Linked DNA regions of Styela clava. The protein of the gene in region 1 purifies or fractionates together with the protein of each later gene. This does not show direct contact. Links are inferred from orthologs where the notes say so. Each region holds a gene or a part of one and is shown in the gene's direction. Other genes may lie near its edges.

Evidence for each region. The genes of interacting proteins can lie anywhere in the genome.
Region 2: the proteins of sorting nexin-9-like (region 1) and synaptojanin-1-like purify together in Homo sapiens (co-immunoprecipitation; 3 studies listed by BioGRID and IntAct, counting the BioPlex papers as one, with this or other methods). This does not show direct contact. The link is inferred for Styela clava from reciprocal best matches to the Homo sapiens genes SNX9 and SYNJ1.

The regions. Positions count from the first base shown.
Region 1 is NC_135252.1:5,730,878-5,739,916, reverse strand, and holds the start of sorting nexin-9-like, read left to right. Parts: upstream 1-5,308; 5' UTR 5,309-5,387; coding exon 5,388-6,687; intron 6,688-7,109; coding exon 7,110-7,199; intron 7,200-7,593; coding exon 7,594-7,777; intron 7,778-9,039. Other genes in the region: N-acylethanolamine-hydrolyzing acid amidase-like, read left to right, coding at 987-1,151, 1,309-1,481, 1,675-1,804, 1,909-2,025. UniProt on the Homo sapiens protein: Involved in endocytosis and intracellular vesicle trafficking, both during interphase and at the end of mitosis. Required for efficient progress through mitosis and cytokinesis. Required for normal formation of the cleavage furrow at the end of mitosis.
Region 2 is NC_135258.1:23,400,860-23,409,923, reverse strand, and holds the start of synaptojanin-1-like, read left to right. Parts: upstream 1-5,698; 5' UTR 5,699-5,751; coding exon 5,752-9,064. UniProt on the Homo sapiens protein: Phosphatase that acts on various phosphoinositides, including phosphatidylinositol 4-phosphate, phosphatidylinositol (4,5)-bisphosphate and phosphatidylinositol (3,4,5)-trisphosphate. Has a role in clathrin-mediated endocytosis.

The DNA.
Region 1 (9,039 bases):
ATTTTCTATTGTTCATATTCTGGAAAAACAATCATAGTATTTTTCTTCTATTCAATTAAAGAGTCCAGCTGCATACTAACACAAATGTATTTCTGTAACGTTTCGTCCGACCAGAGTCAGACTTCCTCAGACAAGCCAACAGCCAACAGAGCCATTGTTGTAAACTGCTTGTCTGAGGAAGTCTGACTCTGGTCGGACGAAACGTTACAGAAATACATTTGTGTTAGTGTGCAGCTGGACTCTTTAATTGAATAGAATAGTCATATTTATTCCAGCTACGTTATCCTTGCAGTATACGCATACGGATCCACTAGCATAAAGGCATAGAGAAAAGATAGGAAGTTAGTCTCGCGCAACCCAACTCAAATTTATAGTTTTATTCATTTGCCATCTTTGTCTTATATTTCTGAAAGTGTAAATAAAAAAAATATTTAAAATGTAAATATGATGATGGCATAAATCTTTACCCTGCACTAAAGAAATATTATGCTAAAACCAAACATTTTCATATTTAATGATTTATGTTGAAATATGGATATTTATACTGCATGTTACGCACCAAGATTTGAGCTTGGTTTAATGAAACTTCCTTTATCACCAATGCATACAATTAGATTGTTTCACTTGTGTCATCACTTTAATTATTGAAATATTGTAATACTTACTGTAGCATGACCTTTATTGCGACCTTATTATGTAAACACCTGTGAACAACATAAGACAGTTGCAAACACTACTCAAAACATATGTATATACTCAAACCTGCTTCCCATCATATATTTTCCTCCGTGATATTTTTTTACAATATCTTACAGCGGCGGTTTGTGAATTAAGTGCTTCCCACTAACTACACAAAATACACAAATAAATTAAGAGTTGTTCATTAAACTATTGGCTATGCTTAAAACTGCTGTAACTTTGCAAATTTTTTAACAGTACTTTTAATTCATAGGCATAGCAAACATTTACTGTAAGTTGTTTCGCAGACTGTATTTATTGGAACAACATACGTTGGCTATGTCGGGTTGTTGACGGCAGCAAAGCCAAACAAATTTTCCCTGTCTGGAGATCAGCGTAACACTGGGTTTCTATGGGAGAATATTTTGGCCGCCTTGGAAAAATCATGGCCCACAATGCTGATGGCAAGAGAAGTATGTTCTATTGCAAAAAACGATTTGATGCAATTTATTGACATTGATTCACAAATATATAAAAGGTCCTGTAATAGCAATCACTTTTTTCCATATTTAGTAGGGAATTTTCTCCTTTGGTGATTAAATTACAACGAAATATATACTGATTTCATAGGTCGTTACAAAGGCTGATAACTATGAATCTGCAATAGACATGCTACAAAACGCAAAGACCATTGCACCGATTTATTTCATAGTGGGTGGACTGAAACCACAAGAAGGGGCCATAGTAGTTCGGGATCGATGGGGAGCAGTCAATGTTACGAGGATGATAGATACTTCTCATAAGTGAGTGTAAGAAAGCTGATACATTTTTTATTTGCAATTTTATTTGGAAACTCACCTTCTGGGGCCACTGGACTTAACGATAATATATATCCTAATTAATGTATTTGCTTTTTATTTAAAGCGAATTTTATTCTGATCATCTAGAATTTAGTAAACTTTGTCGCTGCCAGTCTAATTATCACTATTATCACAGATGGTTTGTTGTTGAAACAAACTACGACCCTTGGAAGACGCCACCTTCAACAGATCACAGGAGAGATGCTGCAGTAAAATCCATGAGTGAATTTGGACAAGATAAAATGAATCCTGATAATCTTTATAAGGTCTGTTTTAGTCAATTAAATCAATATTATTTTGTTATCGATTTATTTTATGGTAAGAACGTGTCTGATATATACGCTTGTTCGGCAAAATGTGTATTTTTCAGGTTATGTCGACACCTCCGGTATTTAACTCAGAAACAACATATACGACAGTAATGAGTGCCGCAAATGTGTCTTTATATCATACCATGATAAGATGGGATCATCCTACGGAAAACTGACAACTTTTTGATACCTCCGGATTACTAATGTTTTTTCGGTTATTTTTCTATATTTTGTTTCACATATATATATATATTCCATTTTACGCATATTTTTTTGATCCATTTTATCATATACGATGATATACGATTGAACTCGTAATTACAATTTGTGTTGTAATATTTAGCTCGTCGGATCAATATATACTAAGATTTAGACATTGAACTTAAATCAATTGTGGTCAATACTAAAATTTTATTATATTTGAATTTGCTTGTAAACACGAATAAGTAATTTGAATAAATACGGATACTTAAATTAAAATAATATATTTACCCAGCAGTAAAATAGCAGCGTTTGTTTTAAGATATATATGTGTAATAGTGTCTGCTAATGATTTTTTGAAAATAAATTCAAAAATATTATTTTTTAATTTTAATAAAATCACTTTTCTTTCATCCAAAGTTTTTCCGATTATAATGACGAGTCCAAACAACTTTTATATAAGGATACGATGTCACCGGCTTTCTTGTTTACTTCTGTAACATTAGAAATCCGCTCAGAGACTACTCACAAAGACAGAATTTCAGGCATGGCGATATAGGCTTACATCGTTTTCGTGGTTTTTGCTATTTATTTGTCATTTTTTAATTGTGATTCCAAAACTTGGGTATAAATAAAATAACTCAATGGTCATTTTGGTCTTTCGTGGAGTTTCAGTTTAATTGCAGTTAACTAAACGTAAATCCAAAAATTTTTTCAATAGACTAGCCGTCAGCTATCATTTCGAATAGCGGATGGCTAAATAGTTTGAAACAAAATTATTTTTATGAAAATTCAAACTGGTTTGTGAGCGCAATCTTACAAAATAAGAATCGAAAAATATTTATGAGGTCAAGGGTTGGAGAAACATCCTTCTGACAGGAAATAAATGTGTGTACTTATCAAATTTTCAGCTTATGTTAGTAGCCTACTTTTTTCAAATTTGTTTAATCCCAGAAAATTGTGATCTTGAAATTTTCAATTCTCCCCCAGAATCCCAACCCCACTTGGAATAGGCCTTATTGATGCCAACGTAACTACTTATGATTTTCAAAATAAGATTGGCTTAACCGTAGTAGTATATACTCCTTTTTATACATTTCACGATTGTTTATAAAATCTAGTATAATCAGAAACGGTAGTGACTAGATTTGACTTGTGACTAGGGATCTGGATACGATAGGATTTACATATCTATTGATTTTTGGACAAGTCTATCTAATTTTGACGAACGCTGAACTGCACATTAGGCATATTACGTTTTGAATTGATTACAGGTGTTGGACGAGTTCCAGGTGTCTCCCCATTTGCCTGTTTTAACTTTATGTTTGCGCAAAAATAAACTTTAACTATAAATAAAATTAGGATAACTGATATATGTATTCGTATATTTGTATTTTATCTGGTCAGTTAACCCGTTAACCGGATAGTTAGAACATCGATTACAATTGATTGAACTGATCGATTGATGATGAACTGATCAAATAATTACGTTGAAATGTCGTAACACAGCCGAAGTTTCGTAAGGAAGAGTCTACAAAATTTCCAGTTGAATTTTCAGCGGAATATTTTTACAGCTGTTATCGCATTTTGCTAACCTTACTTCTATTTATTGGATACGGAACGTACGTTTTGTTATTATGTTGTTGTTGGTATTCTTTGTATTTTTCCATTCCTTGTTGTTGTTTCAAAAGGTAATAAAAAATCCAGTTCAACCGATCAGCATTATCCGGATAACCACCCCTGCTTGCAACAGAACTAGTTTCTGCAGTTTTGAGCAAGTTGGTGGGCGCCTGGAATCGCAGTTCTGCAAATGTTCTCATGACGCGACCGATGTCGGATGAACTGTCAGAGAAGAAATATCAGTAGATTTCATTTTCACAAATCAAGTCAGCCGTAACTATCATGAATTGAAGTAATATCCGAAATTAATTTAGCGGCAATTGGTGGTGTAGCAGTAGCAGGCGAACAAATGCCTCAATGCAGAGATGAAAGTATGAGATCTCACACGCAATCCTGTATAAGTCGAAGAATGATATAGGCCTACAGGTATCAGAATACAGAAATAGCAGAAGATCACAATAGACCAGGACTGACCAACAGACAATGGTTTGATAATGTTTACTTATCACTGTATCAGGTTAGTGCAGTATTCAGGTATTGCTGAGTTGTATCATCGCAATATTGAATGTCAGAATGTGGTTATTAATCACTGGAATTTTCCAAGCTGACAAGCATGCCCCTGGAAAAAGCAAAATTTGTGTGAGAATAATAATTGTTAAACAAACTTACAAAAGTAACAATATTAGTCTAGTGGGCTGGGCATAAAACCTTTTTTGCTTGTGTTATTCCTAACCCCCACCTGACTAAGTCATCCGAAAATTATGTCACTACGTTGTCACAACTCATAATCACATCATATACTGCATATGCTACACTAAAAGTTATTGTGGTAAGAAACCACACAAGACCCGTCTACCTGTATTATGCAAATCTCTTTTCTAACAGTCTATTGTTACTGGAACTATATCTGTATATTTAAATTCTTAGAACAATATGCTTGATTACTATTGGGATTGTCATTATCACACTTAGATAGAAGGAGAAATTCCAGGGAATGGGAAAGCCGATAATACAGCTTGATCATACTGTCATATGGAAGTATGGCACACCACAGCATCTCGTCCGGATACGAGTCCATGTCGGGCATGTCAGTATGGGATTAGTTAGCCAGTTATTTCTTTGTTGTCAGTTGCATGGACTTGATGGTGACCATTGGTTACGTGAATCACCCTACGGCTATGATGAGTCCAGCAATCCTCTCGCACATAATTATACCCTACAGGATTCGTACCTGTGAAGCCATGCAGGGTAATCAGAAATGATGTGGCAAGCTTAATCCTAACGCTTATCACAATGCGCCGCACCGTCGAGTCAGTTTAACTGGCTTATCCTGTTTTCTATTAAATATATCGGCCTTGATTTCAGTCGTGAAAATTACTATGGCATTCACTGGTTGTACAATTGTAACAGTGTAATGATATTTAAAATTGAATGTTGTGGTTGTGGTTTTTTTACTCTATGGTTTTAAGTTAGATCTTCTCTTCAGTCTAGTTTATGCCTAGTCACACTTTTTGGGCTATCCAAGGTTGATAGTTTGGTTAAAATTTGTGCTATGAAAACTTAAATTTTTTCATGCCATGTATTAGCTATGTCCATATGTGTTAAAACTGTAAAGAGAAGTGAGAGCACTTTTACTTATATATTGTGTTGCATCATAGAAATAGGTTTATTTTTTAAATAACATCTATAAATAAGTAGCAATCTTTGTAAAATCAGTATGGCTCAGGTGGGAGATAAAGTTACAGTATTGTATGAGTTTGATGGAATTGTTGATAATCACGAGCTGGCTCTTCGTGAAGGAGATATTGTGACATTGACCAATCCAGATGTAGGTGAAGGATGGTGGGAGGGTCAAGCTTCTGATGGAACAGTAGGTCTTTTTCCTTCTGCGTATTGTGAATTGGTGCAAGACAATGGTGCTGTTGGTGATGCAGAATATGATGAATCCTATGCTCCACCCGAACCACAAGAAACTACATCATACAATGGAGATAATCAACAACAACACGAGGAAGTTTATGATGGTGGGGATGATGATGAGTGGGAAGCGTCATGGGGTGTTCAAAACTACTCAGCCCAAGCGCCAACAGCTACCTCTCAACCTGTACCAATAGCCTCATCACCTGCTCGAGAGGGATCAACTAAAAAATCATCAGAGAGCGACTCACCCAAGAAGAATGCAAAAAATACAGGATTATTCAGCAGTCTCACCGGAAACATTTTTTCAGCTTTCAGTGTTACTCCGGCTGAATCTTTTATATTGGGTGACATAAAAGCAGATACATCATCTAAACCTAAGATTCATATGGTTTTAACAGAGGATGGTCCAATGTGGGATAATACTGCTCAGCAACATTTCACGTGCACTATATCTGATCCCCAAAAAGCGAGCAAGTTTTCTGGGTTCAAAAGTTATATTACGTATAATATCACACCTAGCCATTCAGGGAAGACTGTATCGAGGCGTTACAAACACTTTGATTGGTTGTTGGAACAGCTTGTGAAGAAATTCAATGTAACTATTGCCGTTCCTCCATTGCCAGACAAGCAACTTACTGGGAGATATGAAGATGAATTCATAGAAGGACGAATGCACCAGTTGCAAGGATGGCTTTCTAGAATGTCTTTGCATCCAGTCATATCCCAGTCAGAAGTATTTCAACACTTTCTTGTTTCAAAAGATTCAGAAAAGGCATGGAAGGAAGGAAAACGAAAAGCTGAAAGTGACCCAGCTGTTGGCGGAGCGTTTTGTACAACTATTGTACCTGTCACTGAGAATAGAATGGAATTATCCACTGCTGAGCAAACTTTACAATACTATTCACAGTTTACAAGGGCAATGGATGAATCATTAAAGCAAATTGTTGCTCATGGTGCTGCTTATTCAAGAAAATGTCAAGGTCCGTTAATGCAAGAATACCAGAAAATGGGACAGTGTTTCGGAGCATTAGGAGATTCATTTGCTATGGATAAGCGACAAAATGCAGCACCATTAACAGAGGCAATAAAGCATACAGGTATAATTATGAATTATACTATCATATTTATGTATAAAGTATAGTAATTAATAAATGTATTAAGAGGATATGTGTATTTATATTATATTGATAAAAGTTTATTAAGTAGCCTAACTAATTAAATGTGACTGATGGGAATAGTGTAGCTCAAATGAACCTTCAAATCCATTCAGGAAAACTGAAATCAGATTAATTCTGATCTTTGCAATCTGAGACAATATAAGTCATATGTATACCATAACACCCAGATTGCAATTTTTTTAACCAAAGTTTGTACACTCAAATGAATAAGTCTGTATCCATATATTCGGCAATATTATTGTGCTTGTCATAGTTCATGATCGGGCTGCCCTTTTCTGATACTGGAATTGTTTTATTAGAGTTATGTATATTAAATTGCTGAATTAAATCTATTCTTCCAGGTAAAACTTATGAGGACATTGGGTTGATGTATCAAGAGCAACCAAAACAGGATTGGAATCCATTATTGGATGGTCTCAATGAATATAAAGGTAGAAAATATTTACTGAAGATTTTCTATGCATTGATGTAGGTTCTAATGGGCAGTACCGAATAATTGTACTTCACAAATACCCCATTGCTCGAAAATGAGTTATAAATAATGATTCACTCTTCTAAAATACTGTATTTAATACAAAGAATTTGGTAATATAAAGAATGTGGATTGTGGTACCTGCGATATATGCATCATATAATAGTTGATGGTTGGTGAAATATGGAGCATTTTTTAGTTTTTATGACACATATAATTGTCACCTATGGGGTTTGTACCTGCGGGGCCCTTTCAGGATAATTAAAGGTGCAATGGCAATCATGTTTCTAAGACTTAGCTCGGTCCACTTAGTAACTACAACTAACAATTTGTTCTGTGTTTTCACAATTTAGGAATCATGGCGTGTTTCCCAACTATCCTTGGCAATAATAAGAGTGCGATAGACAAGCAACGAGAAATGATGCGTCTTCAGCTAGAAGGAAAATACACAGAGGATGATGTTGAAAATGCTAAATTACGAGCTGAAACTCTTTCATATGCCGTTCAAGCAGAAATTAATCACATGCAGTATTACAGGTAAGACGATGAAAATCAATTGATTGAAATTCAATTATAATCGCTTAATCATAATAAAATATAATCTTGATTTAAATCATTGAGTTGCACTCAATCATCAGTTTATGCAAAATGTACTATGGACTGGTCATACACATATATATAAAACTGCACCACTCCAAACCCATGTGAGCTTTGTTACTTGTCTCAAGTAACTTATTTTATGTATAATAACATCAGACTTTCTAGTTTCTACTTGAGTGAATGGTCATCCAAATCAGGCTTCCTCATGCAATTTTAATGACTCCATATTGCAATACTGATCAATGCTACTTTACTTTGTACTGAATAGAAGTTGACATGATGCTTGTCATTCACCAGCAATATCAATTTCCTTATTCTGGTTATGATTCTATTGTGATAATATGAGTCGGTCGTTTTCGCTTCGAGTTTGCAAATATATATTTAATATATATAGTCATCCAATTGCCAATATATTTATTCATTTTTAGCCACTGCTATTGTATTTATGTTAAACTTATGAATTAGCATTTGACAAATGCAATGTAATAGTGAGTAAAGGATTGGCTTGATAGGCCTGTATCTGTATGATTTTGATATTTTTCAAATTTTGAATCAACAAATTTGATCATTTTGAAACTATAACCCGTTAATATTATGATCATTCTATCAATTGTGGAATAGAAACATTTTATTTCTAACAATTTGAAAAGAATAATGGGATTGATACATACAATATATGGGGTGTCCAAATAGTCTTAAAATTGCAAAGGGAATTCATCGATACCATATATAGTTTTGATCCTTACATATGTATTAAATAAGGTAAAAATACTTGAACAATTACTGATTTAAAAACAACAAACCTGGTTAGGATATATTGAGAACTGACTTCATATCAAAATTGTAAAGGGACCTCATGGACACCCTGTATAGTTTGGAGTTGCCATTTCGGTGCATATCTGTAAAATATAGTTGATATAAATAGCAGTTGTTCAAATGGTATATATGATAAGTTAGGTGGTATTATACTAAAATCGTGAAAAACCGAGGGGAAGTATCTAGATTGACTTCATATTCTGTCTGCGAATGTTAAATTCCCTGTGGATTATTTCATTATATACAACTTCACAACTGTGCCGTGCACAAAGGTTATGAATGTTTTACACAGTGCTAGCTTATTTACTCTGTTTCTGTAAATATTTGTTTCAGATGCTCTATCTCCCAGTAGTTTTAAATTTTCAATCAACGATTTTCTAAGA
Region 2 (9,064 bases), on another chromosome or scaffold:
GCCATTTTTCTTTGGAATCAATAATTGTATTATTGCTGCTCCACAAACCAACGGACAAGAAAAAGTGCGGGTTCGTGGAAAGTGATATCGGTGTTATGTCATAATTGGAAGAGCGTAAATTGACCCGTCACATTACTGAGGTCAAACAAAAATAAGGTTGATGGTTACAAATATTAATATAGTGTCATTTCCAGTTCCCATATAAGTGTGATTTATACTAAAATAGCAGGAAAAAATTTAATTGATCCAGCTTACTTATAAGAGCCGTTATTAAGCTTAGTTTGGAACAGACCGCCGGGCGACTCATATGATCTTCGCGGGCGACTTGGTGCCCGCGGGCAACGCGTTGGTGACCCCTGCTATAAAGCGTGGTTCGTGATAAAATTGTATGGTGTTTCCTCATATGCACTAAATTTCAAATAAATTAATATAATTTGACCTATATATATATATCGAAATTCTTGCTTGAAGCTTAAAGTACATCATGTGTGGTTGCGGACATAATCAACAGATGATATTCATTACCTATTTGTGCTTAAAAAAAATTGAGATAAAATTTTATGATTCTGGCTAAACCAAAATTAGTTCGTGCATTGCGTTATCTTTAGAAATGGGAATTTGTTCAATAAAAATTGTATTAAAACAATTGTTTGAAATCAAGTTTTTTCAGTCATCAGTCATGGGATTCGAACGAGGCTCGGGTATACACCATTGGGAAGGTAGGCTACAGCCTAGAGGCCCTAACCTCGAGGGCCTTGACAATCAGAAGGAATAATGTCAGATATTTAATCAAGTTAATAATTTCAAATATTTATCGTTTAAAAAATTGAAATACGACCGATTAAATGAATCTGATTAACTTAAAAAAATCTATCCATTTAACCTTAAAAACAAAGTATTTCAATTTCAATATATATATATACTGATTCATATAAGCAACAAAGAATGTAAGCATTATTAGACACAATTTTTACTATGCCAGATCTCACTAAAAACAAGTATTATGATGTCGGATTTTCTGGTGCCATGACGTTTTGTATGTATGTATCTTGACCGTAGCTGAAATTTTGTTCCGAAAATTCCCGTATTACCGATTCCATTGTTCAGCATTGCCTAAAGTGCCACAAAATGGCGTCGTTAGCATATTGTTGGCGCCCATCTACCTATTTGGTTGAAGCATAGAAAATAAATTTTCCTTATTTATTAAATAAACCTAAATTATGGATAAAGGCCAAGCTAGCAAAAGACAACTTGAAGAAGGCAAAAGATTGGCATGTAAATGTCATTTCCTATTTTAAAAATAGCGAATTTCATTTTTCCGCTATTAAATTCGAGCGACTTTTGTGTGCCGTATTGTACGTTCAGCGACCCCGGAAAATCTTTAATAAACGAGTAGCGACCACGCCTGGGGTCGCGACCCACAGTTTGGAACCACTGCGTAAGATAAAGGTACGCCGTGCTGCCGTTAGTGCCGTACGTTACGGTACTGTATTCTGCTTCGCTTCGTTCATGTATTTGAGCATCGCTCTTTTATACTGTACCGTACCGTATGCAGGGTTGTCATATTGGCTTTTTTAACTCCAAATTTGCCATCTTTGGCTCTTTTCAAACACGTTTGGCGTCAGAATTTCCGTTTGGCTTTTTTTTGACTTTTTTAAGTCTATTCTCAGATTCTAGTGTCTATTTTTAAAATCATATTAAATACAATATTTAGTGCAGTAGTGTGTAACAATAGCCTATTGCTGTATTGCTTAGCTAGACTACTTAAAATTTGGATTTCCCCGAGCATCGATTTCCTTGTTTTTTACCTTAACGATTAACCAATAAGAAATAATTGCTGTTTCTGCAGACTCAGACAGATTCAAGTACAGAAGTAGGGTAGGGTTGTGAACATTCTGACATTGCCTCGTTTTTATAGTTTTGTGTGTTAGGCTATTTGTCAGTTTTTAGTTCTGTTTCCAAAAAATAGTTGTATAACTTAATTTTCAATATGTCATATGTAGGGCTTTAGTTTAGTTGCAGTAATCAGAATTGAGTTTCACCAGCGATGTGATTAATTACGCTAAAATTAACTACCTGTACAGCTGTAGGAGCTAAGAGGCACGTTTTTTAATGCTAAATTTGCCATTTTCAGATTTTTGGCTCTTCAAACACGTTTGGCGTCAGAATTTCTGTTTGACTTTTTTACGTCTATTCTCAAATTCTAGTGTCTACTGGTCTATTCTTAAAATCATATTAAATACAATATTTAGTGTGTAACAATAGCCTATTGCTGTATTGCTTAGCTAGACTACCGGTACTTAAAATTTGGATTTCCCGAGCATCAATTTCCTTGTTTATTACCTTAACGATTAAGAAATAATTGCAGTTTCTGCAGACGCTCAGACAGATTCCTGGATTCAAGTACAGAAATAGGATTGTGAACATTCTGACATAATTTTTTAATGAAATTAATGGTTTCAAAATTCAAAAAGTGAAAAATTTTTCTATAGTTAAGTACGGTATACAGCTATATAGGATAGCTAGGGAGAAATTTTTAAGGTAACGGTACCGGTATATCACAAGTTTAGGTAGAAACATGTGGGTACATATATCACATACTGCTGTACTGAAGCGACACCCTGTATTGTATAGGCTAGGCCATATTGCAGTATTGAATTGTAAAATATAGCTGTTCGCTTGATATTTCTTTTTATTTGGTTTTTTGATATTTTTTTTAACTTTTTCATATAGCCTAGATCTGTAGATCTCGACTGCAGTCTACTGCTGTACCGGTATTGTCTGATTGTGCCGAATGTAGATTCTGGTGCTGCCATTCAATTAATCTTTTTCACTTTTAAACACTTCGTCCAGCCGAAGTGGAAATCGCCATGATAGCAACCGAAAATACAACTTTAAATGGGAAAAGACATTTGTGCGGATCACTAAATGAACTGATGGCTCTACATCAGCATCGGTATTGTGCCAAGGGCTTCAAATCTGACAAATCATGGGGCTTTTGTACTTCTGTATTTAGTAAAAGTAAAATTTTTGGCTATTTCTGGCTATTTTATGTCTTGATTTGGCTTTTTTTGATCGCTGAAATCTGGCAACCCTGACTGTATGTTCCAAGATGGGTCCTCATTTAAAAAAGGTAATAGGATATGGCTTAGTCTACGTGTGTATTCTATGTTTTAATTGTGTTTATGAATGTATGAGTAGTAAACTGATTTACGTTATTAGCAAAAAAAAAGCTCGGTGGATCGTTTGGGTCTGACCCCCGCCTGCCAATCTACCATCGCACTTCTAATTACTGTATTCTGAATTACAGTACCCTGTGCAGGTTCGAATGCTGTGAAAAAATTTGTGTGAGAGGAGCTTTAGTACTAGGAACCAGGGGCGCAGCCAGGATTTTTCAACGGGGGGTTACGGTGAAATCAAAACAGTGCATCAAAAGGGCAGTTCACGATGATGTAATGCATTTATAAACTGAAAGGTATGCGTCGTTCACAGCGAAATTCGTTACGTGTGTAGCCCGCCTCTCTTTGCCTGGCGGTGTATGGTGCATATTTTGCAAGTCCTATTTCAAACATCGACCATTAATCCGTAGTCAGTGGGCAACTGTAGTTAGAAATAAAAACATTAAAAATCGCTAAAATTAATTTTAAAGAAATGTGAAACTATTACTTGAAATTTAATGTTAATGAAGGTAATTTTTATAGCCATTTAATGATTTTTTACATGTGCCATGGTCTTGATAGAGTGGCGTGCAAAATCGTACTTTCTAATCGGGTTATTCGATGATTTTAATGAACACCGAATAATGAGTATTGTCATTTTGAACAACATCATTGAGATGTCGGCTGCCAAAACGATCGTCGTGACAATAATTTTTTTTTTTTTGGGAATTTTTTCGGAAGACTGAAAAATCCAGTAACAATGTTTTATTTCCTAAATTTGTCATAATCGAAGGCTGCAGTAAATTTTTTGTCATTGCGATGTTGACGCGCTTTATGCAAAGTTAGGAATTGAAAAATATGATGGGCGTGAAAAAGGGAAGGAAGAAAACATTTCCACATTAATCGTTTCTACCTGTTAGAGATAGCCGTCGGTAAATTCTTACCCTCTAATAAATTCAATTTTTCTTTTCAATGCGCTGTGATTGATTTGAGTGATTGCGCCGGAAAAAGAGAGTCCTTAAATTAGTTGATCACCCTTCTCTCCTTTTGAGCGCCCATAACGGCGGTTAAATTCTTTTCATGTCTGTTTCGTGGAGAGGAGGGAAAATGTGCCTTACTGAATTGCAATCAACGATTACACCTTCTTATTTATCATTATCAGCGCCAATTCAAAGATAGCATGATGTAAAGACGAAAAAAGTCTGGTCTGTGATAACACACAGAATAATATCGTATGGCCGCAAAACCATGATGCGCAACCGTTAAATGGCGCTGTTGCTTTTTTGTAGAAAAAATTTCGCATCAAAAATTGTTTTCAAAGGGGGGGTTATGACCCTGCGAGACAGTCTGGGCCTCCATATCGGCAATCCGTTACTGAAGAATAAAGTAAAAGGAAGTGCAATCTGAAAACATCACCATTGGGTTCCTAGGGGGGAGAGAATAATTAGATTTACCAAAGGATTATATTTTTGACAGTTTTTAGCAAAGAAACGCAATTATGGTCTAATAACGGCCACGATTAATTCCGATTATTATCGAGACAAGCGTGGCTCGATCTGACGTATTGATCAGCCATCGTACCAGACGCAAACTGTGCCCTACTGTACTTCGTGATATTTAATGCTGTAATGATTCATCATATTATTAATGAAAATGAATCTTTGCTCTGACCGTCAGAAAAATACATATTCTTCGAAATTCAAGTCGCCGATTAAATCGTTACTGTCGTCCAAAATAGACACACATTTGGTCAGGTGTCGGGCTGTATGTTGGTCAACGATAATTTAAAAAAGTTTCCACATGTGGTAAAGACATTTCTCGGCCTGAACTATTGATGAACATTATGCAAAACGTATCGACAAGTCTGAGTAGATATATAACGATAACTGAAAATTAAAATTTTGCAATTAAAAATAATTTGTCTGTAGATGTTATTTTATGAGTCTTGCTCACAAAAAATAAACAGGCCGACATACTCGATTATAATTGATTGAGTCGTTGAGTTTATTTTACATTATTGATTAACGCGAGCCCTACCAGGCTCCGGTTGCGGTCACATAAATTGCAGTGGCCTATGTCTGGCCTGTGTTTTCCGCGCTCTCACATTGATAATAATTTGATATTTTTTCATACCTATATTTTGTATTTCACAATTTAGTATTGAAGTGTATAATGCACTAGGCTATATATTTTAATTAACATATACCGGTAAGTATTTAGGTATTACCTAAATTTTGAACAATTCAAGGCAAAAAATAATTTTTTAAATTCTTACATTTCATTGGCTTGTTTGGTAACAAATAAAATCCAATGCTCAGGATTTTTTCAATTAAATACAAAGGCAGTAATACATTCACAAGATTACTTTTTTTAAATTGTAATTCATCAATGTGGCGGAAGAATTCGCACATTTGAATAACAATAAAAACAGAATAGGGTTCGGTATTCGATTTAAGTATTCTAGAATAGTAAATTATTCTATATTGCCCATCCCTACTCTGGTGCAAGGAAAATTTACTTGATTTCATCACAAAGTTTTTTTTTACAATTTATCCTTTAGTTTTATTTATTGTAATGTAGTTAATTTTTAACTATGTCTTTGAGTCGAGTTTTTCGTGTGCTGCATAAGCTAGGACCACCGTACAGTGTGCTTTTGGAGTCTCGACAATTTGAAGATGGACTGTTACTAGAATCAGGAACAGTCGTATCTCTTACTCCGCAGGAGAAAGAAGAACTTAAGTCGGATTATACAAAGGCAATTGATGCATATGGATGTCTTGGAGTTATGATGTTTGGAGATGACAAAGCTGGTAAAGCCCGCAGCTTATACCTGGTGCTTGTGACTGCTTGTATGCCAGTTGGAAAGTTACTCAACTGCGAAGTATTCCGCATTACTGGAGCAAGTTTTTTTTCTTTGCAAAATGGTACTGTAGATGCAGATAGCAGGTGCACAGATGTTAAAAAGTTACTCAGCTCTGGAAAATTTTATTTTACTTGGTCTGCAATGAATGGGAGTGAAATTTTGGATTTGACTGTTTCATTCCAGGATCAAGACAAGAAGAATGATGACCAACGTTTCTTTTGGAATCACCTTTTGCACCTGCATTTCAAACATTTTGGTGCTGATTGCGCCTTGTGGCTCTTCAGAGTTATGTGTGGAGGAATTGACATACGAACTGTTTATGTAGGTGCTCAACAAGCCAGAGCTGTGGTTATATCACGTTTGAGTTGCGAACGTGCTGGCACAAGATTCAATGTTCGAGGTGCGGACGATGAGGGTCATGTTGCAAACTTTGTAGAAAGTGAACAAGCAATCATACTTGGTGAAAATGTTTCTTCATTCATGCAAATTCGTGGCTCTATTCCATTGTTTTGGGGGCAACCAGGCCTGAATGTAGGATCCCATAAAATCAAGATTTCTAGAGGATTTGAAGCATCTGCGCCCACATATGATAGACATTTTTCAAGCATTGTGGATAATTATGGGCAGTGTCTCATAGTTAATTTACTTGGTAGTAAAGGGGACGAGAGCATGTTGAGTAGGCTTTTCCAACTACACCATGAAAAGTCTGCTTTCAGTGAAGAAGTAACAATGTTTTGTTTCGATTATCATTGTGAATGTAGAGGAAAATCTGAAAATTTATCCAAATTGAAAACAAAGATATGGGACAAACTGGAGAGTTATGGATGTTATACCTATAAAGATGATGAAAAGTTACGCATCACTCAAACTGGTGTCATTAGGATTAATTGCCTTGATTGCTTGGATCGTACAAATAGTACAAAAACGTATTTTGGAATGCAGATGTTACCAAAGCAACTGGAAAGTTTGGGACTTGGAAATAATAAGCAACTTGAAGATAGATTCAGAGAGGCTTTCAAAACGGCTTGGCCCATTACTGGTGATCTAATCAGTCGAATGTATGCTGGTACTGGAGCCTTAGAAGGTAAAACAAAATTTAAAGATGGTGCAAGATCGGTGACACGTGCAATACAAAACAATTTTCTTGACCAGAGTAAACAAGGTGCAATTGATTTACTCATACTTGGTACCAACTCAGCAGATATTGAACTGATGGCAAGGGCAAACAATTTAATGTCTGGTGATTGCTTGCGTGCTCCCACAGCGGTTTTGAGAGGCATGTGTGATAAATTCAAAGATTACACATCTATCTTGCCAATTAGAGTTGCCATCGGAACCTGGAACGTAAATGGTGGAAAGCATTTCCGATCACTGGCATATAAAGATCAAACATTAGATGACTGGCTCATCAAATGCGAACAGTCACCAACCAATAATTTTTACAAGGCCTTGTATGATTTTTCCTCTGCCGAAGAAGGTGATTTGTCATTCGCATCAGGTGATATCATTGATGTGCATCATGCCTTGGAGGATGGGGAATGGATGTCAGGTTCCTGCAATGGATGTAATGGAATATTTCCTGCAGCTTATGTCACCAAATTGCTACCAAGATATACTGCTTTGTACGACTTTCCAGCTCATCAGGAAGGCGATCTCGATTTTGTTGCTGGCGACACAATTGAGGTGACTGAAATGACAGGTGAATGGTGGAAGGGAAGGGTTTCAAGAGATGAATACAATCCTGATGAATTGGAAGGAACTTTCCCAGCTAGCTATGTTGAAATATTCAAAGATAGTTTGTCAAGTGACTCCTTTAGCAATCTTGCAGACAATAATGATGCTGAGGTTGACTGGAATAAAGCAATGGACTTTTATGTTATTGGATTTCAAGAGATGGTTGAACTCAGTGCTGGGAACATTGTAAATACAAGCCATACTAATCAACATACCTGGGGAATAGAATTGCAGAAGACAATATCTAACAAGTACAAGTATGTCCTTCTTGCTTCAGAACAGCTTGTTGGTGTGTGCTTTTATGTGTTTGTTCGTCCGCATCATACACCTCATATTAGAGATGTTGAAATTGGAACTGTAAAAACTGGATTGGGGGGTGCAACTGGAAACAAAGGAGGAATTGGTATACGAATGCAGTTTCATAACTCATCTTTGTGTTTTGTATGCTCTCATCTAGCTGCTGGACAAGGACAAGTACAGGATCGAAATAATGATTTTGCTGAAATATCCAAGAAGATGGTTTTCTCTGGAAATAAATCTATCTATTGTCATGATTATATTTTCTGGTGTGGAGATCTGAACTATCGGATAGATATGCCAATTGATGAGGTTAAACAATTAGTTGTTGAAAAGGATTGGAAATCTTTGCAAAGCAATGACCAACTCTGTACAGAAAAGAAAGAGGGAAGAGTGTTCCAGTGTTTTTTAGAAGGAGATACTAACTTTGCACCAACCTATAAGTATGATTTGTTTTCCGATGACTATGATACTAGTGAAAAATCCAGGACACCAGCTTGGACTGATCGTGTGTTGTGGTTTCGAAGAAAATGGTTTGCGGACACTCAAGATTCTGGCTCATCGTTAGTTTCAGTAAGTCAAGATCCAGAATGGAATCCTGGAAAATTGCTGTATTATAATAAAGCTGATATTAAAACTTCTGATCATCGTCCCGTTATAGCGATACTTGATGTCGATATTATACAGTCTGATGAAGAACATCTCAATACAACATTTCATAAATTTGTAGAAGCCCAAGGTCCTCCAGATGCAACTATCTTGATATCATTAACCCAAGAAGAAAATACTGGTGACATTCCACTGTCTGGTGAACTATTTGAAGCAATCATGTCAAGGCTGAACGAAATTGGTGAAGTTATCATCACCCGACACTTCAAGGGGAAACTGATGGTTATTTTCAGTGATGGTACAGCAGCAGTTAGAGCCACAGACTTGAATGAAACTTCTGTTGATGGAACATTGATTTATGTCACATTAAAAAGTAGAGGTTGGGAGGAAGATGTTGAACATG